Coturnix japonica: one gene and its partners. The protein of the gene in region 1 binds, or shares a complex with, the protein of each later gene. Links are inferred from orthologs where the notes say so. Each region holds a gene or a part of one and is shown in the gene's direction. Other genes may lie near its edges.

Evidence for each region.
Region 2: ACTL6B (region 1) and DPF3 share a complex: the UniProt entries of both Homo sapiens proteins name them as parts of the BAF complex. The link is inferred for Coturnix japonica from reciprocal best matches to the Homo sapiens genes ACTL6B and DPF3.
Region 3: ACTL6B (region 1) and ARID1A share a complex: the UniProt entries of both Homo sapiens proteins name them as parts of the neuron-specific chromatin remodeling complex. The link is inferred for Coturnix japonica from reciprocal best matches to the Homo sapiens genes ACTL6B and ARID1A.
Region 4: ACTL6B (region 1) and ARID1B share a complex: the UniProt entries of both Homo sapiens proteins name them as parts of the neuron-specific chromatin remodeling complex. The link is inferred for Coturnix japonica from reciprocal best matches to the Homo sapiens genes ACTL6B and ARID1B.
Region 5: ACTL6B (region 1) and SMARCD3 share a complex: the UniProt entries of both Homo sapiens proteins name them as parts of the BAF complex. The link is inferred for Coturnix japonica from reciprocal best matches to the Homo sapiens genes ACTL6B and SMARCD3.
Region 6: ACTL6B (region 1) and SMARCD2 share a complex: the UniProt entries of both Homo sapiens proteins name them as parts of the BAF complex. The link is inferred for Coturnix japonica from reciprocal best matches to the Homo sapiens genes ACTL6B and SMARCD2.
Region 7: ACTL6B (region 1) and SMARCB1 share a complex: the UniProt entries of both Homo sapiens proteins name them as parts of the BAF complex. The link is inferred for Coturnix japonica from reciprocal best matches to the Homo sapiens genes ACTL6B and SMARCB1.

Annotation. Positions count from the first base shown.
Region 1 is NW_015439878.1:127,799-132,078, forward strand, and holds the start of ACTL6B (actin-like protein 6B), read left to right. Parts: upstream 1-1,480; 5' UTR 1,481-1,623; coding exon 1,624-1,648; intron 1,649-1,747; coding exon 1,748-1,824; intron 1,825-2,258; coding exon 2,259-2,424; intron 2,425-2,994; coding exon 2,995-3,095; intron 3,096-3,190; coding exon 3,191-3,288; exon of another isoform or gene 3,289-3,327; intron 3,328-3,374; coding exon 3,375-3,469; intron 3,470-3,530; exon of another isoform or gene 3,531-3,545; coding exon 3,546-3,652; intron 3,653-3,826; coding exon 3,827-3,916; intron 3,917-4,120; coding exon 4,121-4,182; intron 4,183-4,274; coding exon 4,275-4,280. UniProt on the Homo sapiens protein: Involved in transcriptional activation and repression of select genes by chromatin remodeling (alteration of DNA-nucleosome topology).
Region 2 is NC_029520.1:23,752,190-23,756,222, forward strand, and holds the start of DPF3 (zinc finger protein DPF3), read left to right. Parts: upstream 1-1,233; 5' UTR 1,234-1,398; coding exon 1,399-1,430; intron 1,431-4,033. UniProt on the Homo sapiens protein: Belongs to the neuron-specific chromatin remodeling complex (nBAF complex).
Region 3 is NC_029538.1:102,295-106,578, reverse strand, and holds the start of ARID1A (AT-rich interactive domain-containing protein 1A), read left to right. Parts: upstream 1-1,484; coding exon 1,485-2,639; intron 2,640-4,284. UniProt on the Homo sapiens protein: Involved in transcriptional activation and repression of select genes by chromatin remodeling (alteration of DNA-nucleosome topology).
Region 4 is NC_029518.1:46,220,755-46,224,888, forward strand, and holds the start of ARID1B (AT-rich interactive domain-containing protein 1B), read left to right. Parts: upstream 1-1,334; 5' UTR 1,335-1,429; coding exon 1,430-3,127; intron 3,128-4,134. UniProt on the Homo sapiens protein: Involved in transcriptional activation and repression of select genes by chromatin remodeling (alteration of DNA-nucleosome topology).
Region 5 is NC_029517.1:105,896-109,987, reverse strand, and holds the start of SMARCD3 (SWI/SNF-related matrix-associated actin-dependent regulator of chromatin subfamily D member 3), read left to right. Parts: upstream 1-1,292; 5' UTR 1,293-1,421; coding exon 1,422-1,499; intron 1,500-4,092. UniProt on the Homo sapiens protein: Involved in transcriptional activation and repression of select genes by chromatin remodeling (alteration of DNA-nucleosome topology).
Region 6 is NC_029542.1:1,260,750-1,264,704, reverse strand, and holds the start of SMARCD2 (SWI/SNF-related matrix-associated actin-dependent regulator of chromatin subfamily D member 2), read left to right. Parts: upstream 1-1,155; 5' UTR 1,156-1,294; coding exon 1,295-1,462; intron 1,463-3,955. UniProt on the Homo sapiens protein: Involved in transcriptional activation and repression of select genes by chromatin remodeling (alteration of DNA-nucleosome topology).
Region 7 is NC_029530.1:7,053,063-7,056,562, forward strand, and holds part of SMARCB1 (SWI/SNF-related matrix-associated actin-dependent regulator of chromatin subfamily B member 1), read left to right. Parts: intron 1-390; coding exon 391-528; intron 529-763; coding exon 764-891; intron 892-1,183; coding exon 1,184-1,350; intron 1,351-1,566; coding exon 1,567-1,757; intron 1,758-3,500.

The DNA of each region.
Region 1 (4,280 bases):
ACCCAGCTGCACTTTAGCGCCGGAGCCGCCCCACTGAGGACATTATATGGGGGGGGGGTCTAAGAACAAATCGCCCCCCCCCCTCATTCCCCCCATCAGCTCCATGGCAAGGTCAGAACTGCCCCATGGTTGGGGGGGGAGCATGACCCCCATTGATGGTCAGTCACAGCCGCTGCTGCCCCACAGATGCCAGAGCTGCCCCATAGCGGGGGGGGCAGAGCTGTGTTACCCCCCCTGGACACGTTGGAGCCCCCCNCCCATAGCGGGGGGGGCAGAGCTGTGTTACCCCCCAGGGCCGTGTTTACAGCCCCCGAATGGGGGCAGTTAGGCCCCGCCCCCTCCCTGTTGGCCCCGCCCCCAGCCCCACATACTGCCCCCTCATTGGACCGGACAGTGAATTGGCTCCTCCCCTTTGTGCCGGGCCCCGCCCCCTGGGCAGAAGCCCCGCCCCTTTTTGTAGTGCTATTTGTTTGCTGTGAACCTCCATGGGGGGGGGGGGGGAGCTCCGGTTTGTGGCCATTTTTTTATACCTTTGGGGGTATAGAAACCCCCCCAACCCCCCCTGACCCCCCCAGCATGAGACCCCCCCCCACATTTTGGTTATATGGGGGGGGGAATTACACCCTCCCCTCCCCCCCCCATCTAAAGGGGCGGCACTGATGAATGTAGGGGTCCCCCCCCCCGGCTCCAACAGCCTCTACCTCCCGCGGGGGGGCAGGAAGGGGGGCCCAGCTCCAGCCCCGCCCCCCCCCCCCCCCCCGCCCCACTGAGAGTGGTTCAATGTTTACAGCCCCCCCCCAACACGGGGGGGCCGCGCTACCCCGCTGTGAATAACCCCCCCCTGTACATATCCCCCCCCCCACAATAAACGTAGCCCTTGGTGCAACTGTCTGCTCTATGACCCCCCCCAACCTCCGACCGCCCCCCCCCGAGCGCCATTTTGGTTCGTATTTTCATTTTAATTCCCAAAGTTTAAAAAGGACATTTTATGGGGGGGGGGGGGGGGCAGGCGAAGCCCCGCCCCTTGTGCGGAGTGGGCGGAGCTAAGCGAAGCCACGCCCCCACCGGTGCGTTGTGGGCGGGGCTTAGTGGGCTGAGCCAATCGTAGCTCCGCCCCATTCGGAGGCGGCCCGTTGGCCACGCCCCCCCCCTCGGTGGGCGGGGCTTATTTCAGCCCTGAAGGGGGGGGGGGTGAAAAAAGAGTCTCCAATAATCCATAGGACCCCCAAGTGTGGGGCGGGGACATCCCGGCCCCACAGGTTCGTCCCATCCCCCTCCCAGTACATCCCGAGCCCCCCCAACACTCCCCCCATGGCCCCCCCGGGTCCCCCAATCTCATTTGTCGTTATCACGGTAACAAAGCTCGGTTCCCATGGCAACAGGGTAATTAAGGCGCGGTCTAATGAGGCCGTCGGGGGTCTCTTTAGCCCCGCCCCCCGGGCACCACAACCCCCCCCCCAATAAAACAGCGCGGCCCCTTTAAGACTCGTCCCTCATTGTCTGCACCCGCATCCAATCACAGCGCACGGCGCAGAGGAAGCCGGGCTCTGATTGGCTGCGGCCTTCCAAGCCTCCCTCCCACTTCACACACACACGGGAGCTGTCCGGTGCTGAACCGCCGCCATGAGCGGGGGGGTCTACGGAGGCGGTACGGGAACGGGGGGGGGGCACCGGGATCGGAGCTGATGGGGGGGGGTTAATTTGGGGGGGGGTCCCGGTGTCACGGTCCTTTCTCCCCCCCCCAAAGATGAGGTCGGGGCGCTCGTGTTCGACATCGGCTCGTTCTCCGTCCGTGCCGGTTATGCCGGGGAGGATTGTCCCAAGGTACGGGGCTGCCCCCCCACACCGGGATCCCCCCCCCCACATTGAGACCCCCCAGACCCGCCGTGTCCCTCAAAACCCGGGACCCCCTGAGCCCCCCCCCCCCAACGCCCCCAGAATCACTGGGACCCCATTAACCCTCAACCCCCCCAACACTCCTGGGACCCCCACAATCCCTCCCCCATCCCTATTACCCCCCCCCAAAACAGCCCTGGGACCCCCACAACCTTCCCCTCCCCTCCAGCCCCGGGATCCCCTTTTCCCCCCCCACGTGTCCCCCAAAAAACCCCATAACACCCCCCAGAACCGCCGGGACCCCCATCACCCCACACTGCCCGTACCGCCGAGGCTCCCAGCCCCCCCCACCCCGTGAACCTGGCCCCATATAATTGAGCCCCCCCCCCCTTACCGGGCTGGGGTGATCGTGGGGGGGGCAGGCGGATTTCCCCACCACGGTGGGGCTGCTGTCCCCGGAGGAGGCGGCTCTGGAGCTGGATGGGGACAAAGAGAAGAAAGGGGGGAAGGTTTATTACATCGACACCAACGCGCTGCACGTGGCACGGGAGGGGATGGAGGTGCTGTCACCGCTCAAGAACGGAATGAGTGAGACGGCGGGGTCTATATGGGGGGGGGTCTATATGGGGGGGGTCTATATGGGGGGGGCTCTATATGGGGGGGGCTCTATATGGGGGTGGGGGGGCACTGAGGGGGTGGGGTGGCTCTATGGGATGGGGTGGTTGTGTTATGGGGATTGCTGTGGGGCTGGGGTCAGCCTATGGAGTTACGAGCCATCCTATAGGGATACTGAGGGGTTGGGGTCGTTCTGTGGCACCCCATAGGGACACTGTGAGGCTGTGGTCATATTGGGGGTCATGGTGGGCTCATAAGTCATTTCATGGGGATGTGCTGTGGGGTTAGAGTCATCCTATAGGGCCATGCGGTCACCCCATGGGGGGCTGGGGTCACCCTATGGGGCCATAGGGTAACTGCATAGGGACACAGGGTGGCTGGGGTCATCCTATGGGGCCATAAGAGCACCCTATGGGGATGCTATGGAAATAGGGTCACCCCTTGCACTTATGGGGCCATAAGAGCACCCTATGGGGATGCTATGGAAATAGGGTCACCCCTTGCACTTATGGGGCCAGGCTGACCCCCATCCCCCCCCCCCAGTTGAGGACTGGGAGTGCTTCCAGGCCATCCTGGATCACACCTATGGCAAACACGTCAAGTCGGAGCCAGGCCTGCACCCCGTGCTCATGTCTGAAGCACCGGTACGACCCCCAACCTGCCCCACATCACCCCACATCACCCCACACATGGCTGGGGGGGGTCCCCAGCCCCACATCTCCTACCTTGTGCCCCACAGTGGAATACCAGAGCAAAGCGTGAGAAGCTGACGGAATTGATGTTCGAACACTACAACATCCCTGCTTTTTTCTTGTGTAAAACTGCTGTTCTAACAGCGTATCCAGCCCCATAGATGTGGGGCAGCCGTGGGGCGGGCTGTGGGGGTGTCTTTGTTAATACAGCCCTTAATGAGAGGAGCACAGGTTTGCCAATGGGCGCAGCACGGGGCTGGTGTTGGACAGCGGAGCCACGCACACTACAGCCATCCCAGTGCACGATGGATACATCCTGCAGCAAGGTGTGGGGCAGCTATGGGGCGGCTATGGGGCAGGGTTATGGGGGCAGCCCCCATCGCTCACCTGTTCGCCCCATAGGGATCGTCAAGTCGCCGTTGGCCGGGGATTTCATCTCCATGCAGTGCAGGGAGCTGTTCCAAGAGATGAACATCGACATCGTGCCGCCCTATATGATCGCTGCCAAGGTGTGGGGCAGGGCTCAGCCCCACAACTGCCTGCCCCACATCCAAGCTCCATAGTTCCCTATTGGCCAGGCCCATTTAATACCACGCCCCCTTTCATTGGTTAAACCACCCCCATTTCCCCACCCCCTTTTTTCTGACCCCGCCCCCTTTTCCCTGACACCCCCCCCCCATTAGGAGCCGGTCCGGGAGGGGGCCCCCCCCAACTGGAAGAAGAAGGAGAAGCTGCCCCCCGTCTCCAAGTCCTGGCACAACTACACCTGCAATGTGAGTCAATGGGGGGGGGCACAGAGGAGGAACCCCACTGGGGGGGATTTGGGGGGGAAGAGGGAATATGGGGGAACATTAGAGCGAGATTCAGAATGGGGTTTGGGGGGAACAGAGGGAGATTGGGGGAACACAGGATCTTGGGGGACAGAAAAGGACTTTGGGGTCCCCTCTGTGACTCCCCCCCATTCATTCCCCCCCCAGGAGGTGATCCAGGACTTCCAAGCCTCAGTGCTGCAGGTGTCTGACTCCCCCTACGACGAACAGTGAGCGATATGGGGGGTGTGGATGGGTTTATTGGGAGAGGAGTGGGGTTGTGTGGGGACCCCCTCCTCTAAATTGCGACCCCTCCCCTTAGGGTGGC
Region 2 (4,033 bases), on another chromosome or scaffold:
TTGTGAGAGCTCGGCAGTTTGTGGTTAGCTTTTCCTGTGAACAGTGTGAGTACCGAACAGGGCTTTCTGCAGTTACAGTCAATGTCACCTGGACCACTACTATACCATATAATATAATGCAATATGATAATGGAAACGTTCTTGAAGATTGCTTCCCAGAACCGTGGTTAGGATACATCTCGGCAGTCTGGCAACTCTCCAGCTGACAGGAAGCTTATTTCTCCTGTAACCAAGTGTCTCAGATAGGGGAAGATGGTTCCCTCCGGGAGCACACAGTGGGCAGGTTGGCCTTGGAGCTGCAGCAGGTGCTGCTTTGGGAAAGGGGACTCTGGCAAAGCTGCTGAATCCTGCATGACTGGGAAAGTGATGCACTGCTCTTTCCCCTTATCTGCATGTAATAATTTCTGTACCTCTCTGTTGTTCATCTCTCAGCCTTTTCTCTGCTGCCCACACATTAGAAAGTTTTATTTTGACAAACAGTTGGGAGAGATTTAGTTTTTCTGCCCTTGCAAAGCTCATCCCATGAGCTCAACGATTGCTGTTTTCTCTGTGTTACACCTGAACATCTCTCAAACATTTACTTCCATTCTTTCATTAAGTTGTGGATCGGGCTACCCTCTGTAGGCTTATCTTGCTCCTGCGATGGGAATGATTTAACTGCGTGTAGCTGAGTTTCCTCCAGTTTTATGAATGCGAGGATTGGAGAGGCAGGCTGCTGCTTGTTTCTGGATGGACAGAGGTGCCCGAAGGGAGGGGAGTCCTTCGGGAGGGACGGGGCGGGAGCTGCTGGCTCGGACCGTGCCCGTTCCATTCCGGCGCTGTACTCCGAGTGGCGCGGAGTTCCAGCCCGCCGCTTCCTTCGGGCGCTCTGCCGCTCTTCCCAATTCCTTGCGAGCACTCCGTGTAGCGGCAGGTGGCCGCGGGCTCCCGGGACTCGCCCCCGCCGCCGTCCCGTCCCGGGAGCGGCCGGGGCGGGGCGTGTCGGTCATCGCGGCCGGTCGTTACGGTTATGTAAGGGCTCGGGGCCGCGGCCACCCGACGCGGGAGGGAAATTCCTGGGGGGGGGAAGCGGCTCCCGGGGGCCGGGCGGATGGCGGTGCCGGCCCGGCGGGAGGGCGGCGGGCGGGGCGGTGTCCCCGGGGGCGGCCCCTGCCAGGATCCGCCCGGCCGCGTGCCCCGCGCGGGCGCTGCCCCTTTAAGGGCCGCTCGCCGCCCGCTCCACAGGCAGGAGCGACCTCTGGGCTTTGACAGCTCCCCTAATAACTAGCAGCGCTACGGCCCCGCCCGCGGAGCACGATTGGGCGGCGGGCCGGCACGACCCGCGCCGATTGGCCGGGCGCTTCCCCTGAGCGAACCTTTAGAACTCCGAGACACAATATTCTGTTACATTGTAGCAAAATGGCGACTGTCATTCACAACCCCCTGAAAGCGTAAGTAGGGCTCAGACCCGCACACGCTCCGCGTGGTTCCGCTACGAGAACGGCCGCCCTCCCGCCTCGCCCGGCCCCGGCTCCCCGCCTCCTCGCGCGGCCCCGGCTCGGCGGCTCCGGGCGGGCGGCGCGTCCTGCGGCCCCGGTCGGGGCGCACCCGCACCTGGCGGCGTCCCGCGGGGTCCGGCGGCGGCCGGGGCGGGGCGGGCGGCGGGGAGCGACGAGCCGCGGGGTGCGGGGTGCGGCGCGGGGCAGCGGCGCCGTTTGCGCGGAAGGCTCCGAGCGGCGGGGAGTTGGTGCCGCTCGCGGCTCGGGAGCGGGCGCCGGGGGCGGGAGGGCGACTCGGCTGCCGCCGCCACCCGGGTCCCCGTCCTAAGAGGGACGCGGGATCGCTCGCCGTCCCCCCTGCTCTCCTCTGGCGTTTCCCTCGGGTTCCGGCGCGCGGCTAATCCCGGGGCATTAGGGAGAGCGCGACCCGGCGCCGCGTAACCTCCCGCGGGAGAGTTGTGCCTCCCGGGGCAGCGCTCCCGCGGACGGAGCGCAGCGCAGCGCGGACACCTGGCGGCGGCGCTTCCCCGCACTTCTCAGCAGCGCGGAACGGAGTCCGGAGCCGAAGTGAGGGCTGCGGGATGTGGCTCCGCTTTCTTTTCTTCTGTTTCTTTTTTTGTTGGTTTTTGACTCGCGTCCCTCCGGCTGGAGTTGGCAAACCGCTCGGAGGTGGTTCCGGGGACTCCTGCCGCCGTCTCTCCGCAGTCTGCGGGGAGGATGAGCCTCGGGCTGCGGAAAGGTGCTGACACGTTTGCCGGCTCTCCCGCTCCGTCCTGGCAGAAAACCTTCGCTTTCATTTCGCGTGCGCTCCGCAGCGCCCACACGGCCGCGGGCAGCGGCAGTGCAGGTGCCCCGCGCTCCTTTAAGGGGATCCCGGGGCTCAGCACCCGCCGCCGCCGCTCTCTGGACCCGCGCCGCCCGCAGCAACTTGTCGCGCTGATGCCCCGGGCGCTCCGTCCCGCTCGCAGTTCTCGCCCGGCTTCCGGAGCCGCTCTCAGCGGGCAGCGCTCCCCGGGAGCCCCGGGGGGTGGGGGAGAACGGGCCGCCCCGGCCCCGCCAGGCTGAGCCGGGAGGGCAGCGGAGCTCGGCTCCTCTCGCGCGGCGTGGGAGAGCGCGAACAATGGGCAGCTCGTCTCTCTGCCTGCACAAGTGCTGCGCTGCTGAGCGGGGGAAGCGGGACCGGCACGGACTGCCCGGCACCACCTGCGTTTTTATATCGAGAAGTTGTTTAATAAAACATTTTATAATTTCCACTCATTCTTTAAAGTTGCTGGTTGGGGAAACAATACGCACGTAAATAAATTATGCACGGGATAAATTAGGACAAAAGCGGTAGGACGCATAATAGGGGAAAGGACGTAGAGCACAACGTTTTATCCTCATGTGTCCTCCCTGACAATGAAAGGGAGCCGAATGACATTTGCATTTATCTGCGTTTTGATTGTATCTGAAAACCCACAAACGCCCCCTACAGAAACTGCCCGCACAAAGGTTTCGCTCCGAGCCGGGGACAATGTCGGGACCGAGACATCCCGGCTCAGGTGTCCGCAGCTCCGGCTGTGCCGCCCGTCTACGGTGCCCAGAGCTCAGTTTCTCTCCGGCACTTGGACACATGTGTGGCCTCGTTCGTGCTGCGCTGCTCTCGAAATAACGTGCTCCCGTGTACCTGAGCGTCCCTGGGAACGCGCTGCACGGAATAGCGCGGTGCGTGCAGTCCCCCGGCTGTGATGGGCGCTCCCACGTTCAGCTCGCCTCTCTCTCTGCCTCTTTTCTCACTTGCTGGTTCTCTTCGGGGGCTTTCATCCCTCTGCTCTTATCCCCCTCGCTGCCTCTGTCTGTCTGGTCAGCCCGACTCAATCGCCTGCTATTTTTGCCATCCAGCACCTTGCTCACCTACACGGTGCTCCGAGGCAAAAACGGCAGAGATGTGAGCGTAACAGATCTGCGAAGAAAGGGCAGCAGGTGTCTGGATAAACACAGAGTTCTTTGCCTGCAGAAAAGGCAGCACTCAGTGTGCTGATGGGCAGCAGTGGGCTAGAAATGCTGCATTCATTGTTGGGTACCTATCTCTATTTCTTCTTTCCATCTTTTCCTTTGGATATCTTAATGCGGAGATGTTCGAGTGGGGCAGCAGAAGGAACAAATGCAATGAAGTGGTATTCTGAATGACTTAAAGTGTCAGTCAGAAATCTCAGTGGGCTTTGTAAACATTAATTAATTAAACCTCTCATCACCCCTGTGAAGAAGGGATTATTGCCTTTGTTTTGTGGATGACTAAACTAGGACAAAGTGGTTAAGAAACTTTCTGAATTGAAGATCAAGTCTAAAGCACAGCAGTGCAGCTTCCAGCCTTAGCAGCCAGCCACATTTCCTCCACTCCTGCCTGACTAGAAATGTGCATACGGTACCATAATGTATTTAATGTAATTAAGATCTTGTAATTTACAGAGCTCGATCTAGAAGTGGAGCTGATTTCCTCCACCCTTTCTCAGTCTGTACTCCCACAGCTGACTTTTCTTTCAGATTGTCAGTTAAATGCACTCCCTGGAGCACTC
Region 3 (4,284 bases), on another chromosome or scaffold:
TAACTAACTCATCTTTTTGTATCTTTTCCACAGACCTGTACGAATTACAATTAAAAACAAAACTAGATGCTGGGACGGGACAGCCCGTGTCCAGCACTGAGATTCAGGTACGTTCCTCTCCTCCCTTCTGTTGTGGGGATGGAGGAGATGGGAATTCGGCTCTGAAATGGTTAAAGAAGAGCATGGCCTAATTCTCAGTTCACCTTTTGACAGTTGGGGAGCTCCAGCACCTCATGGTCCTGGAGACTGCGGAGTGGAGCGTTCTGGCCCATTGCTCAACACGTTGTGTCTGGACACATTCAGGTGGTTGTGGTTCTACACATTCAACCACCCCGAGGCAGTTTCCGGCCACCCGCTGCCATCGCTTTGACAGGAGTGGGAACCCGACTTTCTTGGACGTCCGTGTGTGCAGCTATTGCCTTGGCATGCTGCCAAATCTCTTTCCAGAGGGACACGACCAGCAGAGAGGAAATGACAACCCGCAGCACTTAGTGAAGGCTAATTCTAAATGGGATGGTTAGGGACCGGGGAGAGGCGTTTCGTTGACCCGCGGCCCATCTCCTCGCTGAACCTCCAGAGCCGCCACCGAGCAACGCAGCCATGAGCCCGCTCCGCTTTCCCCCAAAACTGGGCTGCGGCTCCTGCGCCCCCGCCGCCTCCGGAGGTGCCCCGGGAAGGTGAGGAAGGCAAGGAAGGCCGCTCCGAGCGAGGTCACGGCTCCTGACCCCCCGCCCCGAGCCGGGCGGTACTGCCAGGGTCGTGCCGCCGCCCGCTGCCCCGGCACCGCCCGCACGCCGGCCCCGGTTCCGCCGCACCGCCCCGCTCTCGGTGCCGGGCTCGGCTCCGCGGATCCGCTGCGGGTTTTGCGTGCGGCAGCCTCCGCCGCGCCGAGCCGCGAGCGGCCGGGGCCGGCCCGCTCCTCCTTTGTGAAGGGGGGGAGGCTCCCGTCCGGGCCGCGCCGCGCTCCGCTCCGGGTTTGGCAGGCGGCCGCGGCGCTGGGTAAAATGGCAGTGCTGAGCCTCGTGTCGGAGTGAGCCCCACTCGGCGGACCAGAGTCGGGAGCTGCCGCGCGGCTCACCCAGCCCGGCCCCACCGCCGCTCGGCCCGGCTCCGGGGACGGCGCCCGCCCGCCCGCTCGCCGTGTTCCCCCCACCCCCCTCCCCCTTCCCTCCCTCCCGCCTCTCCCGCACCGGGAGCCCCGTCCCGGGTCCCCCCCTCCTCCTCCTCCTTCCCCCCACTCTCTCCTCCTCCTCCCCTTTCTCTGCCGGCTGCAACCGAGGAGGTACAGCGGGGCCAGGCCCCGGGAAGCCCAGCCCAGCGGAGCCCTCCCCGCCTCGCCAACCAGGCTGGGGGGGAATGAGCCCCCGCTGCCCTGAAGAGCCCGCCGCCGCCTGAGCGGGGAGCAGCAGAGCAGTGAGGCCTCACGCCGGTCGGCCAGGCAGGGAGCAGCTCGGGGGGGAACCGGTCCGGGGGGGGGGGGGATCATGGCTGCTCAGGTCGCCCCCGCCGCCGCCGCCGCCGCCAGCAGCCTGGGCGCCCCGGCTCCGGCCGAACTGAAGAAAGCGGAGGCGCAGCAGCGGGATTGTCCCCTGGAGGAGGCGGGGGGCGAGGCGGCGGCGGCGGAGCGAGGCGGCGGCGGCGGCGAGAAGCAGGCGGAGAGCGAGGGCCCCCCGGGGAAAGAGCTGCAGGACGGGGCCGAGAGCAACGGAGGGGGCGCAGGGGCCGAGTCCGACCTGAAGAGCTCGAACGGGAACCCGGGCCCCAGGCCCGCCGCCGCCACCCTGAACAATAACCTCCCGGAGCCGCCCGGTGGCGGCGGCGGCGGCAGCAGCGACGGGGTGGGGGCGCCGCAGCAGCAGCAGCCGCCGCAGCAGCCTCCCCCTTCCCACCCGGCCGCCTTGCCCCCGCCAGCCTACGGCTTCGGGCAGCCCTACGGCCGGGGCGCCCAGGCTGCTGCCGCCGCCGCCGCCGCTGCGGCCGCCGCCGCTACCTTCCACCAACATGGCGGACAACAAAGCCCTGGCATGGCAGCGCTGCAGAGCGGGGGCCTGGAGCAGTCTTACCCGGGGCCGGCGGGAGCCCCCGCGGGGCCGCCCCCTCCCCAGAACTCGCACGGCGGCGCCGAGCACGGCTTCCCCAACCACCAGTACAACAACTACTACGCGGCCGGCGCCGGGCGCAGCGCCGGCTCCTACCCGCCTCCCCCCCAGGCCTACGCCCTGAGCTCCCCTCGGGGCAGCGCGCAGAGCTCCGCTCAGGCGGCCGCCGGCGCCAAGTCCCCCGCCGCCGCCTTCCAGCAGCAGCGCTTCGGGGTCATGGGGCCCTCGGCCGCCGGCGGAGCAGGAGGAGGGGGCGCCACCCCTCAGCCCACGGCCACCCCCACCCTCAACCAGCTCCTCACCTCCCCCAGCTCCGCCCGCGGCTATCAGGGCTACCCCGGGGGCGACTATAGCGGCGGGCCGCAGGACGGGGGAGCCGCCGGCAAGGGCCCGGGCGCCGCGGACATGGTCTCGCAGTACGGCGGGGGCAACGGCCAGGGCTGGGCCGCAGCGCCCGGCGGGGCCCCGCCGAGGAGTCACCACGCGCCCATGAGCCCCGGGAGCAGCGGCGGGGGACAGAGCCTCGGCCGGAGCCAGCAGGTAACCGCGAGGCCGCGTGAGGCGGACGGCGCGCCGGGGGGGGGGGACACGGGGCGGAAGGCCGCGGCCGTCGGGCTGGGGATGGGGGCGGCGGGGGAGAGAGGTGCCCTGAGGAGGGTGGTGGTGTGGGGCGGGGGGGGGGAGGACGGGACGGCCCCTCTCCCGTGGCTTCTCCCCGCCGGGTCGGCGCTGCTGGGGAGCTGCCATTGTCTGTGCCTGCTCTCGCTCTAAAATGGCTGCCTCTCTGCCTTTCCTTCCTCCTTCCCCAGCCTTTGTGCGAGGCTCCCGGAGAGCGGCCTCCGTTCCGCCGGGATAAGGGGGGGCGAAACGGCGGTCGTCCCCGGCGGGGAGCGGCCGGGCCCGGCGCGAAGGGGTCGGCGGAGGCGGTGCGGCGGGGATCGGGCGGCGGGCGGCCCGCCTGGTCCAGCGCGGGGTGTCCCCCCCCGGCAGTGCCGCTGCCCCTACTCGCCGCTGCCCCGCTCCGCGCCCCGGGGGCTTCGCTCCCTGCCCGGGGTCGCCCAGGGCCCGCCCGGGTGGCCGCGTCTCGGCCCGGCCCGGAGGGGCCATCTTCCCCCGCGGGAGGCCCGGCGGCCCGAGCCCGTGGCCGGGAGTGCTAGTAAGCGGCTCGGCGATAGGAGCAGTGAGTGCAGATTGCTTTGGTTTGGGATTTGAATTATGGAGGTAAAATCCTTCTGTCAAAGCCAGGAGACAGTTGGTCTTAGGTTGACATCCTATCTGTGATCTGATTGGCTCCCCATCTCCTGCTCTTGGCCATTTATAATTGCCTCTGATGTAATGGTACAACAATCCTGATGAGCTCATAAACTTTTACACTCGGCTTTTCTGCCAGCTCGGACCCAAAGCAGCCCTGCTGCTCGCCACCTCCTCGGCCCCCCACCGAAATTGGCTGTGACCTTGAGGAGAGTCGGCCTTGCAGGAGCGGATCCCTGGCCTGCCTGCCCTGCTGCTTTGTGCCCGAGACAAAAGAAGAGGCGATGGCATTTTGTTTGTACCTTGGGTTTATTTTGCTTGTGATGTTTTATGCAGCCTGGAATAGAGTCTCTGTTGTCAGAACAGTGGCAGGTCTTCTCTGCACAATGGGCTTGCTGTTTATTTTGGTTATGTGACTTTCCCTTCGGTATAAATGATTTCTTTGATGGATCTGAGGGTGCGTTTGTTCCCAACTAATTTTGGCCTTTTTCAAGACCGGGACTGTTTGGATTCTTTCAGCTGGAGGTGTGGGGGTTTCTGCAGCCTTACAAATAAACAAAAAGCCCTACCAAACAGTCGCAACCAATTTTGTGGTGGAAGCATTGAAAATGATTTACCTACTTCAATTAATTGGGGAGCTTCAATATTGATCAGGCCTCGGCTTCTGGTTGTGCATCTCAGGGCATGTTTTGACTTTGAGTGAGCACTGACAACATCTGTCCCCTCTCTGCATTTAAAGGACATGTTGTAGGTCCTCACTTTGTCACAGTACTTCACTTTCTGAAGGAGTATGAATAGGAAATCCAAGCCTGCACATCAGAATGATCATCGTGTGGGGACACTTACCCATTTGCTGGAAATATGGAGGAGCAGGAAGCGTGCCGAGGAGAAAGCAGTACAGTGTGTGCATCAGACATCTTAGATACGGGGATTC
Region 4 (4,134 bases), on another chromosome or scaffold:
CCAGATGCTTTATTAGTTTAATGTAGTGTGTAATGCTTACTTTTTCTTATGCTTGGGTACCATTTGTATCGGAGTAGTCATACAAAAACACTCCAAAAAAAACCCCCTCCATTCTGAGGGATGGTTTAAAAATGTAGGTCACCAGTAACAGCTTTCCACGTGCTATTTGGATGACATGTTTTGACTTTTGTTCTGGTATCGCACAGTGTCCTGTGCCCACTGGAAACTACATTGTTTGGGGAAACAATTACAAGACTACATGCCTCTCTCTTCTTGATCAGCTCCCATTATCTGCAAATAAGTACAGAGAACATATTGAGAACAGCCCTATATATAAAAGCATCATCAGCGCAAATGACCATTAGAATTTGGAGACAGCTGGGCAATGTGGACAATGGCACCGATGGTACGGCTTCAGAATTTAAGTTACGTTTTATAGCTGTCAGCACTGAAAATACAGATTTCGGGGGGGAGGAATAGGAAAAAAAAGGGGGGGAAGGAGGGGAGAAAAAAGAAAAGAAAAAAAAAAGAAGAAAGAGAAGAGAAAGTCGTGTTTTTCCGCGAAACATCCTGCATCCCCCGCCAGAGGAACGGAACGGAGCTCCTTTCCACACCTCCGAACTCTGCCCGCCGCCTGCGGAGCCCCGAGGCCGCCCGCTCCTTTCCTCCCTTCCCTCGGGACAGCGACCGCGGCCCGACCGCTCCGCCGCCGGCCCCGTCCCCGCAGCGCCGAGCGGGCGCGGGGCATCGCGATCCGCCGCCCCTTGACGCTCCACGTCCCGGAGCGGGCGGCGAGCGCCGGTGCCGGCGGATTCCAGTCCGCGTTTTGCGAGTGCGCGGGGCGCGGAGGGGGCGATGGCTGCCGGGGCTCGCCCGCCCGCCCGCTCGCTGCTGCCATGCTGGGCCAGCGCGGCTGAGGCAGACGTGCGCGTCCCCATATCCGGGTTAGGGAGGAAAGGAGGAAAAAAAAAAAAAGTTTCATTTAAAGCCGAACAAAAAAGTTCCAACATGAAGTCACAGCGCGGCGGCGGGCGCGCACCGTGAGGCGCTGTGCTCCGCTCCGCTCCGCTCGTAGCACTTCTCGGCCGCGGACCGAGAAGGGGATTTGTGCGGCCCGCAGGGACGGCCCGGCCCGGCCGAGCCCTGTCGCCCCGCTCCTCATCCCCCACCCCCCCCCACACCCCCCCTAACCCCCCCCAACCCCCCCTAATTCCCCCCCAACCCCCCCTATACCCCCCCTAACCCCCCCCAACCCCCCCTAATACCCCCCCACCCCCCCCTACACCTCCCCCCTCCCCGGCTCACCCCCCTCGCTGAGCGCGGGGGCCGAACTCCCGTCTTGTTGTTTTGTTTTGTTTTTTTTTTGCCCGATTTTTAGTCTTTTCGGTCCCGGCGCCGGTCCCTCCGACCTCGCGATGTGGCGGTGATCATGGCCGCGCAAGTGGCGGCGGCTCCGGCGGGGGCGAACAACGGGCAGGGCAAGGCGCCGGGCCCGCCGGAGCGCGGCCCCGGTGGGGGCCCCTCGGCCGAGCAGCAGCACCCCGCGCCGGCCCGGCGGCAGCACGGCGAGCCGGCCATGGCCCACCGCGCCGCTCCCAACGGCGGCAGCGCGGCCGGCGGCCCCTCCTCGGAGCCGGCGCTGAAGGAGGCCGGCGGCGGCTCCGCGGCGCGCTCCTCGTCGTCCTCCCCGCCTTCCTCCTCCTCCTCCTCCTCCTCCTCCTCCTCCTCCACCCCGGGCTCGGCCATGGAGACGGGGCTGCTCCCCAACCACAAGCTGAAGAGCGTCGGAGGCGATCACCCCGCCGCGCCGCCCCACCACCACCACCGTGCCCACCACCCGCACCACCGTGCCCACCACCACCACCATGCCCACCGCCCGCACCACCGCCACCACGCTCCGCCGCAGCCGCTGAACCCCTTCCCGCCGCTGCCGCCGCAGCAGCCGCCGCCTCAGCACCATCCCGCGCAGAATAGCGGCGGCAGCCTCGGCGGCGGCGGCGGCGGCAACAACAACGGCGGCGGCGGTGGCGGCGCTGCGCAGCCCGGCGCAGACATCGAGCAGCAGCAACATGGAGGAAAAGACGGCGTCCTGGGCGCTCCGGCCGAGCCGCCGCAGCAGCCGCCGCAGCAGATGCTGAATAAAGGCGCCGACGAGGAGGAGATGCCCGGCAAAATGGGCGAGCCCATCGGCGGCCGCTACGAGCACCCCGGCTTGGGACCCCTGGGCGGACAGCAGCAGCCCCAGCAGCCGCCCCCGAGCGCCGGGAGCGGCGGCGGCCTCGGCGGCGGCGGCGGTGGCGGCGGGGGAGGCGGCGGCGGCGGCCCCTCCGCGGTGGGTGTCTCGGAGTTCAACAGCTATTATGGCAACGCTGCCCCCGCCGCCGCCGGCAGCGCTACGGCGAGCCGCGCCGGGCCTTGCTTTGATCAACATGGCGGACAACAAAGCCCCGGGATGGGGATAATGCACCCCGCGGCGGCCCCCAACAGCATGGACCCCCTGCAGAACTCGCACGAAGGGTACCCCAACAGCCAGTACAACCACTACCCGCCCTACGGCCGCGGGCCCGGCGGCGGCGGCGGCACGGGCACGGGCGCGGGCGGCGGCGGCGCGGGAGCCGTGGCGGCGGCGGGAGCCGTGGCGGGCGGCGGCGGCGGCGGAGGCTACGGGGGCTCGGCGGCGGGCTACGGGGTGCTGGGTTCGCCCCGGCAGCCGGGCGGCGGCATGATGATGGGCCCCGGCGGCGGGGCCGGCCTCGGCAAGGCTGCCTCCGGCGCGGCGGCGGCGGCGGCGGCGGCCGGCGGCTTCGCGCGGTTCTCCGGGCAGAACCAGCACCCGTCCGGGGCCACCCCGACCCTCAACCAGCTGCTCACGTCTCCCAGCCCCATGATGCGGAGCTACGGCGGCGGATACCCCGACTACGGCGGCCCCGGCGCCCCGCCGCAGCCCCAGCCCCAGCCCCAGGCGGCGCCGGCCGCCCCGGGCGGCCAGCAGGCAGCGGGCATGGGCATGGGCAAGGACATGGGCGCTCAGTACGGGGCGGCCAGCCCGGCCTGGGCAGCGGCGCAACAAAGGAACCACCCGGCGATGAGCCCCGGCAGCACCGCGCAGCCCATCGGCAGGACGCAGGTAAGCCCCGCGGCGCCCGCTAAGGGGCCCGCGCGCCGCTCGCGGGTCCCCGCGCCGCTTTTTGTTTTCTTTATTTTTATTCAGATTTTATTTGCCCTTTCCCCCCCACACTTCATCCCATCCCCCCCCATCCCCCGCGTGGGTCGCTCCCTCCGCTCGCTGCCCCCTCTCGACACCCGCCGTGCTGCGGGCACGGGCTCCGGCTGGGCCTCACGGCGCCGCGTTGCTGCTGGGAGCAGCGGCCGAGGGCCCGGCCCGGCCGATGGGGCGCCGTGCGGCCGCGCTGTGTGTGTGCGGGTCGGTGCGTTCCCTTGGGGCTTCCCGTGGCGCTTCTCTCTTTTGCTAACAGTTCGGGCTGTATTTTTCTATCCGCACACAGCGAGTTGTCCGCGCTAATTAGTTTGTCTCTAACGCGGAGTTACCGCAGTGCACGCCGCTCAGCGCAGCTCGCCTGTTAGTTTTTTATTCGTGTTTTTTTTTTTTTTTTTTTTTTTTTTTTTTTTTTTTTCCCCTCTCTCCCTCTGTGGGAAGAGCGCGTGTGTGCGCGTCGCTGTGCGCCTGACTCACGGCGCCGCTCCGGCCCCAGCGCCGCGCTTCGCCCCTCGCATCCGCAGGGGCCGGGCCCGTCCCGGCGGGTCGTGGCCCGGGGGGGGCGTTAAGGCTCGGGGCGCCGCCGAGAGCCGCCCCTCCGCGCTCGTTCCGGCCGGGAACCGCCGCTTGTCGCCGTGGCGGCCGGAGCCCGTAGTCGAGGAGCGGCTCCGCTTCTCCGCAAGGTTTGGAATTTGAATTGTGGAGGTAAACGGGCTGCAACAGTCTCCAGACAGCTGCCTCCGAGTTGACATCTAATCTGCCATCTGATTGGCTCCCTGCTCGCCATTGGGCACTTCGCGCCGCTGATGTAAATAGCAGCGCCGAGCGGCGATGCCGGCACCCACGGCCCCGCCGACACCGAGCGGCCGGGTGGGGGTGGGGGGGTGCGGCTGCGCGGGAGCCAGCGAGGAGGGGGC
Region 5 (4,092 bases), on another chromosome or scaffold:
TCCTCGCTGCTGCCCGATTCAGTGTCTTTTTGGTGCTTGTTTTTAACCACTGGGTGAGAGCAGCGATTTTATTCAATTCAGGTTCCCTTCTGATTCCCTTCTACTTGCAGCCTTGCCAAAAAATTCAGAGTCTATAGACATCAATCTCAAGGAGAGGAACAGAACAAACCCCTCTGGCAACACCTCTATCAATGTATCAGGCGGACGGGAGGCAGCCGCCCCCTCCAGCCGCACACACCGCGGTGAGCAGAGCCCCACGGCCACGCCGCTGTGCCGTCATGGAGGCGGCCCCGCCGCTGTGCACCGCAGAGCCGTTATTGCCGCTGTGCACCGCAGAGCCGTTATTACTGCTCTCCATCACGGAGGGGCCGCCGAGAAGCGCTGCAGAGGCCCCTTCCCCCCCGATGGGCCGCGGGGTCTCGTGGTGCCGCGCGGGGCTGTGCACGAGGAGCCGCGAGCTGCGGCAGCACAACGGCGAGCTGCGGGGATCGCGGCGTCTGCAGCCGTCAGTCACACGGGGCGTAGCGGGGCCGGAGAGCCCCGGACAGATCGCCCCGGGCGGGGCCGCCGCCATACTGCCATGCTGCCATACTGCCATACATCCATACTGCCATACTGCCATACTGCCATACATCCATACTGCCATACATCCATACTGCCATACTGCCATACTGCCATACTGCCGTGCTGCCATACATCCATACTGCCATACTGCCATACTGCCGTGCTGCCGTGCTGCTATGCCGCTATGCCGCCCCCGCTGCTCGCACGCCCCCCATCCCTTCTCCCCCGCTCCGTCCCTGCCCGCTCCCGTCTCTCCGCCTCCCGCCGCCTCTTCTCGCCGCAGGGGCCGTTCTCATCCTGGCGCTGGAATCGCCGCCAGCGAATGTTTGCCCGCTGCCGGCGGTCCCCGGGGACGGGGCCTGGAGCGCGGCGCGGGCGGAGCGCTGCGAACGGGGGGAGCCATTGTTTCTCCCCGCTCTCCCGCCGCATATTGTAATGGGAAAACTCCCCGGGAGCCGAGGCCGCCCCCTCCCCCTTGCCCCAGAATTTACCATCCCCTGCGCCGAGGAGGAGCGGCTGCGGCTCCGCCGCGAAAGGCCGGGACGTGTTTTCAATCTGCCTGGCTCTTATCTCGGGTGTTTGGACAGAGAGGTTTAAAAAGCGGGATTTTCTGTCCCCGCAGAGTAAACACGCAGAGCCCGGCAGCGCAAACTATTTCTGGCTTATCAGTGGAGGAATGCAGCAGCTGAGGCCGAGCGCGAGTGGGCCGTCAGGAAGGCCCTGAAGGGGCCCCCTCCCCACTCCGCGCTATTAGAAGTGTGAGAGCCCAGCAGGACTCAGAGGGGAGAGTTGGAGAAAAAGGCAGAAAAGGGAAAGAAAGAGGAAGAGAGAGAGTGAGAGAGGCTGAGCAGACCCCGATGGCTACAGACGAAGTTACAGGAGGGGCTCGCAAAGCTACGAAAAGCAAACTTTTTGAGTTTCTGGTCCATGGGGTGGTGAGTCGGGAAAGTTAGCGAGCTGCTGGCTCCGGATCGAGGGATGAGTGCAGAGCGGAGGCTGCGCCGGGCTGGAGCGGCCCCTGCTGCGCGCCCGTGGGGCGCCGCTCCCCGCCTCGCCCGGGAGCCGCGGGGCCGCCGGTGCACACGATGTGACCGATTCGTTGCTATACGGCTTTGTCTGGGGGGTTGCGTGCTGTGATTGCTGCTTTGATTCTCCGTGCTTGGTGAATAGCGTGCTCCCGAGCCTCGTCACGGTGCGGGATCTGCACCGCGTCTGACCCAAACGGGCTCGTAGGACACTTTGTTCTGTAAGCAAACTTGTGTTTTGAAAAGCAATTCTGATGCTGGTCCGACGCGGCCGTGTGGCGCTGCCTCTGGTTCTCGTCTCCAGCCTTGGCTCTGATGTATCCGCTGGCTACTTAACAGGTGACTTTCAGGGGCTTGGAGAGATTAGCGCTGCGGATCTCTGCCAGGCGATGGGCGCTCACCCACGAGGGAACGTCAGGTTGCCGCGCTTAATTAAAGGAATCACTCAGGTCTTTAAAAAATCGCCAGCTTTTGTTTAAGGAATCAGGTTTTTGATCTCCATTTAAGGGGATACGCTAACCTTGTTTTGCTGCCAGGAGAAACGATGTTCTTTAAATGACTGATGGTTGAAAGCGACCACCATTTATAGCATTCGGATGTCTCGTGCTGATACACTTTTAAGGAAATAAGACCCAGGAAACGCAGATATAGCTCAGATGGAGACAGTCCCTGCGTGTTTTCTCTCCTGAGCGTTCTGGCACCTTCTGTGACACCTTTTTGAAGACATCCGCTGCGTGTTCCTGTACAAAGGAATCTCGGGAGCTCGCTGCAGGCCTCTGGGTTGTCCCCATAATTCAGGCTTGCTCCAAATGTATTGGATCTTTCTTGTGTACTGCAGAGCCTGGCTATGATGAGCTTGCAGGGTGAAGGACTTTTAGATGGCATTCTGCTCCCTGAGAGCAGTGAGCAGGCAGAGCGGTGCCGATGTACATCAGCAGTCTGTGGCTGGATGGGCAGATATGACAGAAGCAGGTGTGCGGATCTGTGGCAGTAGCTGTGCTGTGAACACGTGTGTTGGTTAAGATGGTCTGGCTCAGGGTGGCTGTAGCTGGGTGGCCGCAGGCATCCCGGGAGGGCTGTGCACGAGGGTAGCTGTTTCTTTTTCCAAGGCTTCTGTTGGCACAACACTGCTCTTCCTTTGGTATTTCCAAGAGTTGCTAAGACAGTTGGATGACCCTGCTTCTTTCCCATGTAGATGTGAAAGGAGCCTGCTGGCCTCTTAAGCATGAGAAATGTTAATTCATACCAGAATTAATGCAGCAGAACTTGTTTCCATTAGTTATTTGGGTGCTAGAAAAGTCTGACTTGTCTGCACTGCCTGTTTCTCCATGAGAGGCGTCTCACTTGGTATCCACATTGCCTGAGTACCTGCATCTGGTTGTTACCTTTCCACTGCCTGTCAGGGGAAACAGAGCTTCTTGTCCATCACTCTTTGCCTGAGCTCCTCTTGTAGGACCCTCTGCGCCCCTCCATGATTATTTCCTTTGGTTCTGCTTTTGCTTCCGTGTTTGTTCTTCACTTCTAGTTTCTTCCTGACCTCAGGCTCATTTTGGTCAAAACAGGTTGAGGCAGCCAGTCTTCCATTGCTTACAAAAGACCCAAAGTTGCAACTTCATTTACCTGTTTACATATCCTATCGAATAAAAGAACGAGCCGTTACCCCGAGTGCAGATATTGCAGCCTCATCACCGCACGCGGCCTGTCTGCATCTGAATCAATTCCTTGAAGATTCAAGTTGAAGAGTAAAGTTTTCCAGCATGCCTTGGAATCAGGTTATGCCTCCACTCCAGGGAAAATCTCCTCTTCAGATTACTGGGTTTTTTTGTTCTCTCTTTGGCAAAATGATCTCTCTTGATTACTGCAGGTATTGTTATCGTTATTGTTTCATTTTCAGAAATGGGAGTGTATAAGCAGGGATAGAATGCCATGAGAAAAAAATGTACTGTTTGAAGAATTAAATAGAAAGGAGAATTTTGCACTATTTACTGAGAGCTGTTAGATTTTGGGTTTATTTGATCTTTCTGAAAACATGTGTTTCTCTGCTAAGGTCACTTCGCCCTTTGCTCTTGTGTGTTTCATCTTGCCTTTGTTCTTTCCCATGCTGCCAGCTCAGAAGAGATCTTCTTCCCTTTGTGTGGTTCAGATAGGATCCCTCTGTGCTGTCAGATCTCAGTGGTGAGAAGCCTCAGGTGTGATACTTCGCCCTGCTGGAGTAGTTTGTTACACCTCTGCTGAGCAGTTCTTTTCAAAAGACCGCCTTTCTTTCAGTTATTCCTTAGATTTCTCTAACTCCTGGTCTGTTGATCAGGGCCTCACACGCTGTATCTGTGGGAAGAGGGATTTTTTGCACAGGCTTCATCATCCTTCACTGTCACTTTCGCCCCTCTGCTCTATTTCCAGAACTGTTATGGATAAATTCAGCTTTAATGACCACCTTTATGCCTATATGTTTTTTCCTGATGTGTTTTCTACTGTCCAGCAGTACACTTCAGGCTGCCCTTGT
Region 6 (3,955 bases), on another chromosome or scaffold:
TGTGCACACATACACATAAGGACATGCCTGCACATGGAGGTACATACATACACACAGAGGTACATACATGAGGTGTACACATGAAGATCCATATACACCCACACACACATGTATGAACATACATGCAATCATATGCACATATAATCACATGCACTAACAGCTACACACGTGTACACACATGCTAACACATGTACCCATGCACATCCATGCACACATGCAGATGTGTTTACACCACCCACACACATACACACATACATGCACACACATGTACACACGTACGTACATGTACTCAGGAAAACACATATGAACACACATGTACACTATTATGAACACGTGCACACATGTACACATACACACACATGCATGCAGAGTGGGCACGCATATGCACACACGTGTGCACACATATGCACATATCAGATGCATACACGGCCCTAAACATGCAAACACACACATGCTGGCAGAGATATGTGCACACAATCACACACATGTGCACACATACAGCCAATGGGGGCGGGGCCTCACAAGTGGGCGGGGCTTTGTTTAAGGGGCGTGGCCACACAGAGGGGGCGTGGCTTAGTGAAGGGGCGTGGCTTAGTGAAGTGGTGTGGCTTATTGGAGGGGGCGTGGCTTAGTGGCGGCTTTTGAGGGGGTGTGGCTTGGCAGAGGGGGCGTGGCTTTGCTCTGGGGGCGTGGCTTAGCGGAGGGGCGTGGATTATTGGAAGGGGCGTGGCTTATTGAAGGGGGCGTGGCTTATGGAAGGGGCGTGGCTTATTGGAGTTAGCTTGGCTTAGTGGATGGGCGTGGTTTATTGGGGGGCGTGGCTTTGCTCTGGGGGCGTGGCTTAGTGGAAGGGGCGTGGTTTTATCGGAGGGGGCGTGGCTTAGTGAACGGGGTGTGGCTTATCGGAGGCGTGGCTTTTGCTTTGGGGCGTGGCTTATTGGGTGGGGCGTGGCTTAGTGAAGGGTGTGGCTTTAGTGGAGGGCGTGGCTTATAGGATAGGGCGTGAACGGGTGTGGCTTATCGGGGCGTGGGTTATCGGGGGGCGTGGCTTTTTTCTCTGAGGGCGTGGTTTAGCGGAGGGGCGTGGCTTAATGTGGGAGTGGGCGTGGCTTAATGTGGGAGTGGGCGTGGCTTATCGTGGGAGTGGGCGTGGCTTATCGGGGGTGGGGGGCGTGGCTTCTCACGCCGCGCGCTCCCTCCGCTCCGGGCGCCGCCGCTTCCGAGTAAACAGCGCCGGGCCGCCCCCCCAGCTTTAGGCCCGGCCCGGTTCGGTTCTGCCCGGTCCAGCACCGCCATGGCCGCCCGTGGAGCTTTCCCTCTCAGCCCTCTGCCTCCCTCCGGCTCCGCCGCTCCTCCTCCTCCAGGGCCCGGACCCGGTATGATGAGAGGCCCCAACCCGACTCCGGCCTCCGGGGCCGCTCCGGGATATCGTCCGATGGGGCCTTCGGGAGCGCAGTACCAGGTGAGGGCGGGCGGGGGGCGGCTCTGTGCTCTGTATTGGGGATGGGAGGTGGGAGGTGGGATTGGGGGGTTACTTAGAGGCCTCCAAAGGGGCCGTGGGGGTTCAGAGGCCTTTTGGGCCCGGAGGAAGCGGCGCTGCTTCCTGAACGTGGGGCCCTGGCGGTGGGGGGGGAGCGGGGCTCCATAGGGGCGGCTGTCCTGGCCCCCCACCCCCATTAAAAAGTTAACGGAGAAGTGTTCTGCCCTATGGAGGTGGTCCCGTACCCCCCCAGGCTGTGCTGTGGGGGTCCTGGCCCAGGAGGGTCCATCACAGCCATCCTTGTGCATTTCCAGCTCCGGAGATGGAGCTGTGATGGTGAACGTTAAAGGGAAGGAATGGGGATAAAGGGGAGTAAATGTGACCCGCTGCAGTGCTGGAAGCTGTGGACTCTGCTCTCTTTCTGCTGCCTTTTCTGCTGTTGGTTCAGCCCCCACGTGTTGTGGGGTTGTTTATGGAGAAGCCTCGTTCTGCGATGAGTTCTGAGTTCCAAACCGAAGAAATCCAGTCATCCACATGGGGGGAATTTCCAACTGCTGTATCAAAGGAGGAGAAACAACCCGTGAAGCTGAAAAACCCCGAAGTGAAAACTGAGATGAGCTCAGCCAGGCCAATAGGGCCCTGCATTGGCTGTAATGTGACTCAGAGCTATAGGGAGGCTTCATCCCGACCTTCCCAGGTTGCAGAACCCAGCGGGCATCGCTCTGTTGTGGGTAAACAGGGGCACATATGTTTGCTTTCACCCCCCCCCCTTATCCCATGCTGGCCATAATACTGCACTCATGGCAGGTGTTGGGAGCGTATGGATGGGGTAGGGTGAGACTGGGAGCATATGGCAGTGCTGCAGTGTTTGGGTAATGCAAGTCGTTGTTGTCGTGTCTGGCCGGCAGTTTGCTGGCACAGGGAGGGGATTGGGGGCTGATCGATCCGGTCTGTCTTTTGTTTTGCAATTTGCAGGCCTGTTTAAAGCAGCTCCTCCCCACCAAGTGGTCAAAACTGCGGTGCCCGCAGGACTTCTCAGGGGGTAACCAGTGAGTCAGGCTCCTTCTGCTGCATTATGCTGGCTAGGAGAACACAGCAGCCCTCATGTATGGCAGCGGGTGCTTAGGGGCTCTTTAATCAGTGGATTATTAAATGTATGTTAATCCTTTGACATCCCTTGCCTGCCTGGCTATGCACCAGCAGCTCAAGAAGGGAAATGGGGAGGACAACTCACTCTAGCACTGATGTTTCCAGAGCAGAAAGGAGTGGGAGTGTGTTCATGCAATGGGCGATCAGCTGCACGGTGGTGTGTCCACCCCCATCCCAAGGCTCAGGTTAGCATAAATCCATCAGGAGTTCCCTCTGTTTGTTGTAATGGAGGTTTCAGGCTTGGGAGATCCTTCCCGAGTTATCAGGTTGATGCTGTGGTAGGGAATGGGCTCAGCTCTGTGATGCAGTGGAGGAGGGGCTGTGCAGAATGGCCTTGAGGTTGCCCTGTGCTGTCGCTTTGCTGGCGTAGATCAGTGGCAAAAAAAAGAAGAAGTGGAGTTAATGAAGTGCCCCGTTAAAAGCATTTCATTGGCACTTGCTGACAAGCAGGAATCCCATTTCCGTGGGACGGAAGGGCTGTTGCAAGCCAAACAACTGCTAACAAAGTGATATTGGAGGAAGCGTGGCTGTGCATGGAAGGAGTTGGAGCTTTCTGCTTCCAAACAGACCTGCTGGATCCCATTAGGAGAGGAGAGCTGGGTGCTTGTCCCATGGTTGGCCTGGGGACGGCAGCAAGGCTGGAAGTGCAGCACACAGCAGGGATCTGCAGCTTGCATTGCTGCATGACCCACCCTTCCCAGTGGGGGACTGTTTCCAAGGCAGGTTTCATCAGAGGCTGAGCATCCAGCAGAATGAAGCCGTGACACAAAGCAGAGCAATGCTGTGCTCTCAGTGCTGGATAGAAGCAGGCAGCAGCAGAGCTCAGGGCACCCTTTGTTTCTCCTTAAGGCTCATGGAGGTTCTGCTCGGTGGGAGCATCTCCAAAGCTTCCTGCTGGAGGCCTTTGCTCTGTCTTCCTCCATAGGGACCCTCAGAGCCTTTCCCTGCACATCTGAGCAGTGTTTTCCACTCTTCCCATTGCTTCCCCCTTTGTATTACTTGAGGCTGCCACGTTTTCAAGCAGGAACCCAACACCTTTCTTCCTTGTTCCTGCTTGTGTTTAAGGCATAAATCCCCTGAGTTCTTTCTCTGCCTGCTGCAGCCTCTGTTCCTTAGGTTGCTCTTTGTTTTACACCTCCTTCCCCCTCTTACCCTGTGCTCTCCATGGCCATCAGCACGAGGTGAAAGTCCCAGGCTGTAACTCGTGCATCCCTTCTGTTCTCTTGCCAAGTCCCTGCGGTGTGGAAGCTGCTGAGAAAACTTCACTTAATGTGGCCTTTCCCCTTCAGTGTCAGCATGGCTGCTGGGTCCTGGTGTGAGCGCTGC
Region 7 (3,500 bases), on another chromosome or scaffold:
AAGGATTGGGTTGCTGCCCACATATTACAGGAAGAAAAACATTAGTGTTTGATGATACAGCTCATTTTGCAGTTACTTCATTCCAACTGTAGCAGATGTTCTGCAGAACACTCTCTGCGCATACTTTTTGCTGGAGATGTCGCATTTCTCAGCAGTTCCTCTGTAAACATAGACAGGAAATCCAAATATGAAGCATGTATTGGTGGTACACCTGGATTCGTATGCAGTGGATAGTTGTGGGCCGGAAAATGGAGTTTGAAGGCAATAATGTGGAATGAGTTCTCAGTCCAACTGTCATTAGGAAGGAACTCGTAATTTATGATACTAAGTTTAAAAATAGTGGCAGTGGTGTTCGGGGCCTGCAGGTTAACACAGAGTGTCATTCTGCAGAGAACAGAAGGCAAAGAGGAACAACCAATGGGTGCCGACACTGCCCAACAGCTCTCATCACCTGGATGCAGTACCATGCTCAACAACCATTAACAGAAATCGCATGGGCAGGGACAAGAAGAGGACTTTCCCTCTGTGGTAAGACAGCTTCCTTCTTCAGAAAAGTGGAAACAGTTACTAACATGACACACTGCAGGGGGCTGCTCTGATAGGCAGGTGGCTGCCAGAGCCCTGTAACTTTGTGTTGAGGATTATGTCTAATAATTGAAAAGTTGAAGTATAGGGATGGTAACAATAAAAAGCACCTTCCTTCTATGCATGCCAGATGTATCATTTTCTATTCCACATGCCCTATTGATGTTCTTTGTTCTAGCTTTGATGACCATGACCCAGCAGTCATCCATGAGAACGCATCCCAGCCGGAGGTTCTGGTTCCAATCAGGCTTGATATGGAAATTGATGGACAGAAACTCAGAGATGCATTTACATGGAACATGAATGGTATGTAGGAGGGAGAGTTTCCTGAGACTAGAAAAATACAGTTGCATTCATTACCAAATATGAAGAGAGAACAAGCAAGTCCTTGCCCCATATAGGAAAATCTTTTAAGCTCTTCTACAGTGATGTGTCCTATTCGGCTCTCATGGCTCTTAGCAGATCCCTAACACTTCCATGGATTGCAGTAATTCCTGAATACCTGTAATCTGAAAAGTTAGATGGGATCTTAATTTTGTGTATTCCGTAAGTGGCAGACATTGGTGGCTGAGAAAAATGTCTTCTTGTTCTGTATCAGAAAAGCTGATGACCCCAGAAATGTTCTCAGAGATTCTTTGTGATGACCTGGATTTGAATCCTCTGACCTTTGTCCCTGCTATTGCCTCTGCCATCCGACAACAGATTGAATCATACCCAACTGACAGCATCCTAGAGGATCAGTCAGACCAGCGTGTTATTATTAAGGTAAATTACAGGGAGGCAGTAGAATGAGAGCTGAACTATACTTGCATTTCTCTAGTTTTGTGTTCTTGGTTTTTTGGATTTTTTGTTTATTTATTTATGGGGGAGAGATAGCACAAAGACTTCCCTCAAAACCAAGGAGTTCCTAATTCCAATCCTTTATCCAGGTTAGATTTTGTCCTTGAGAAATGAATGACTCGTTTCTTCCCTTGTCTCCAGCTTAACATCCACGTAGGGAACATCTCCCTTGTAGACCAGTTTGAATGGGACATGTCAGAGAAGGAGAATTCACCAGAGAAGTTTGCCTTGAAGCTGTGCTCAGAGCTTGGCCTGGGTGGGGAGTTTGTCACTACTATTGCCTACAGCATCCGGGGACAGCTGAGCTGGCATCAGAAGACATACGCCTTCAGGTACAGAACTGCCATCTTTCTGGATGGGTGTAGATGTGTTTTCTTACTTCATGGCTGTTAACGTCAACGAATCTTGAACTGCTGACACAGTGTAGAAAGCTTAATTTGAAATTGGTTCTTATAGATTGTATACTATATAGTTCTTAAAAGACTGTTTTATTTCTTGGACATCCTTTTGTTTCATCAATTGGTGATCCCCTAAGCTGGTATTATCTAAGGACCACTGCTTGTGCAAGGTTAGCAGCTCACATGGTTTCATTTCTTCTCACTGTTCTGGACAGTTGTCTGTCTTGAAGTGGCAAGTGAGTCACACGTCATGGGACGGTGAGGTGTTACTGGTGAGCTGTAAGAGACACTGTGCTGCTTGTATGAAATGGATGGAGTCCTCTGGATAACAGAAATGTTAGTAGTGGATCTAACCATAGCACTCTAAATGTACGTGACACATTTGCAGTCATGTCTTCCTCAGGCACAGCCCCTTGTTGCTGGCTGCCTGACTGGTGAAGAAATGAAGAGTTTTGATCTGGAGCCTGGTGTGTTTTGTTCTGTAGATCCTGGTGCCTCTCAACCAGCTTGTGCTTTTGCTCAGAGATCTTTTTGTGGTGGGTGTAGTGCATCCCAGGGCCAAATATCAATGAAATCAGTTTTTGCCACAGAGTGAAAGGCTTTTCTAATTAACACTGTCAGAAAACCTTGTGCCTTCTTCTAATGTCTGCACATGATGAGCCTTGGATACGTTTCTGTCTCATCAGCTCTGTCTGACCTGGGCCAAGCTTTGGTCTTCTGAGCTAAGCCTGACTGACACTGTAGCTCTCTGCCCTGGATGAAGTTGAGGTTGGTTTGATCACAGGCAGTTCTCTTAGCTGGAACGCAACAGTGTCAGGTTTGATTAGTCAGCTTTGTAACTTGCCTCCTAATATTAATTATTTCCAGTTGTGCTGTGCAGAGTTCTGTGGCAATGTACTGCACAGATGTTATCCTCCATATGTTGCTTAGTCTGCAGTCTGTTAAGTATTCCTTAATGTGTGCTGGTGGGTTTTTTGACCTCAGGCCATGGTGACACTTGAGGAAGTTTGAGAGTTCAGCAAGTGATGTATTGCAGAGGTGGGAGAAAGGTGCTACTGGCGCTGGTTTTGTGGAGGTCAGCTCAAGGAAGCTTGCAGCTAATCCCTAGTGTGGTTCACATGGAAGTTAAACTCTTCTCTAGGAGCAGGGAGTTGACTTCTCCCTTGCTATCCATGACAGCAGATTGATATTTGCAGATCTGTGCTGTGGAACAGCTAGAGCAGTGGGTATGTGTTGCTGAGGATGGGTGGGAGCTTGGAGGGCAGTCAGTGGCAATATGATGCCTCTAGTACTGCTTCTTCTTCCCTGCTGCTTTACACATCTACTTTATATGTGTCCCTGGTTGCTGAAGAGTGCTTTGTTTTTGGGGTGGCTCAAATAGGTAGATTTCAGGCCTTCTTTAGGCTGTTGCCATTTTTTAAGGGGGTGATTTAAAAACGAGGAAGGAAAGCACAGAAATAAAGTACAATAGCTGTGAACCATTCAGAGGCAGAAAGCACCTAATTTAAGACTTGCTTTTTTTGTCACAGTACAAATATGCCCTCCTCTTCCCTCTCTTCTTTTTGCAAAGGAGTACTTTTGAAACCTTCCTGTGATTAATGATGTTTGGGTTTTGTGGTTGGGTAGTTCCTGAATTCCCAAACCACAGCAGTGATGGTTGCTCCAAAGTTATTCCGC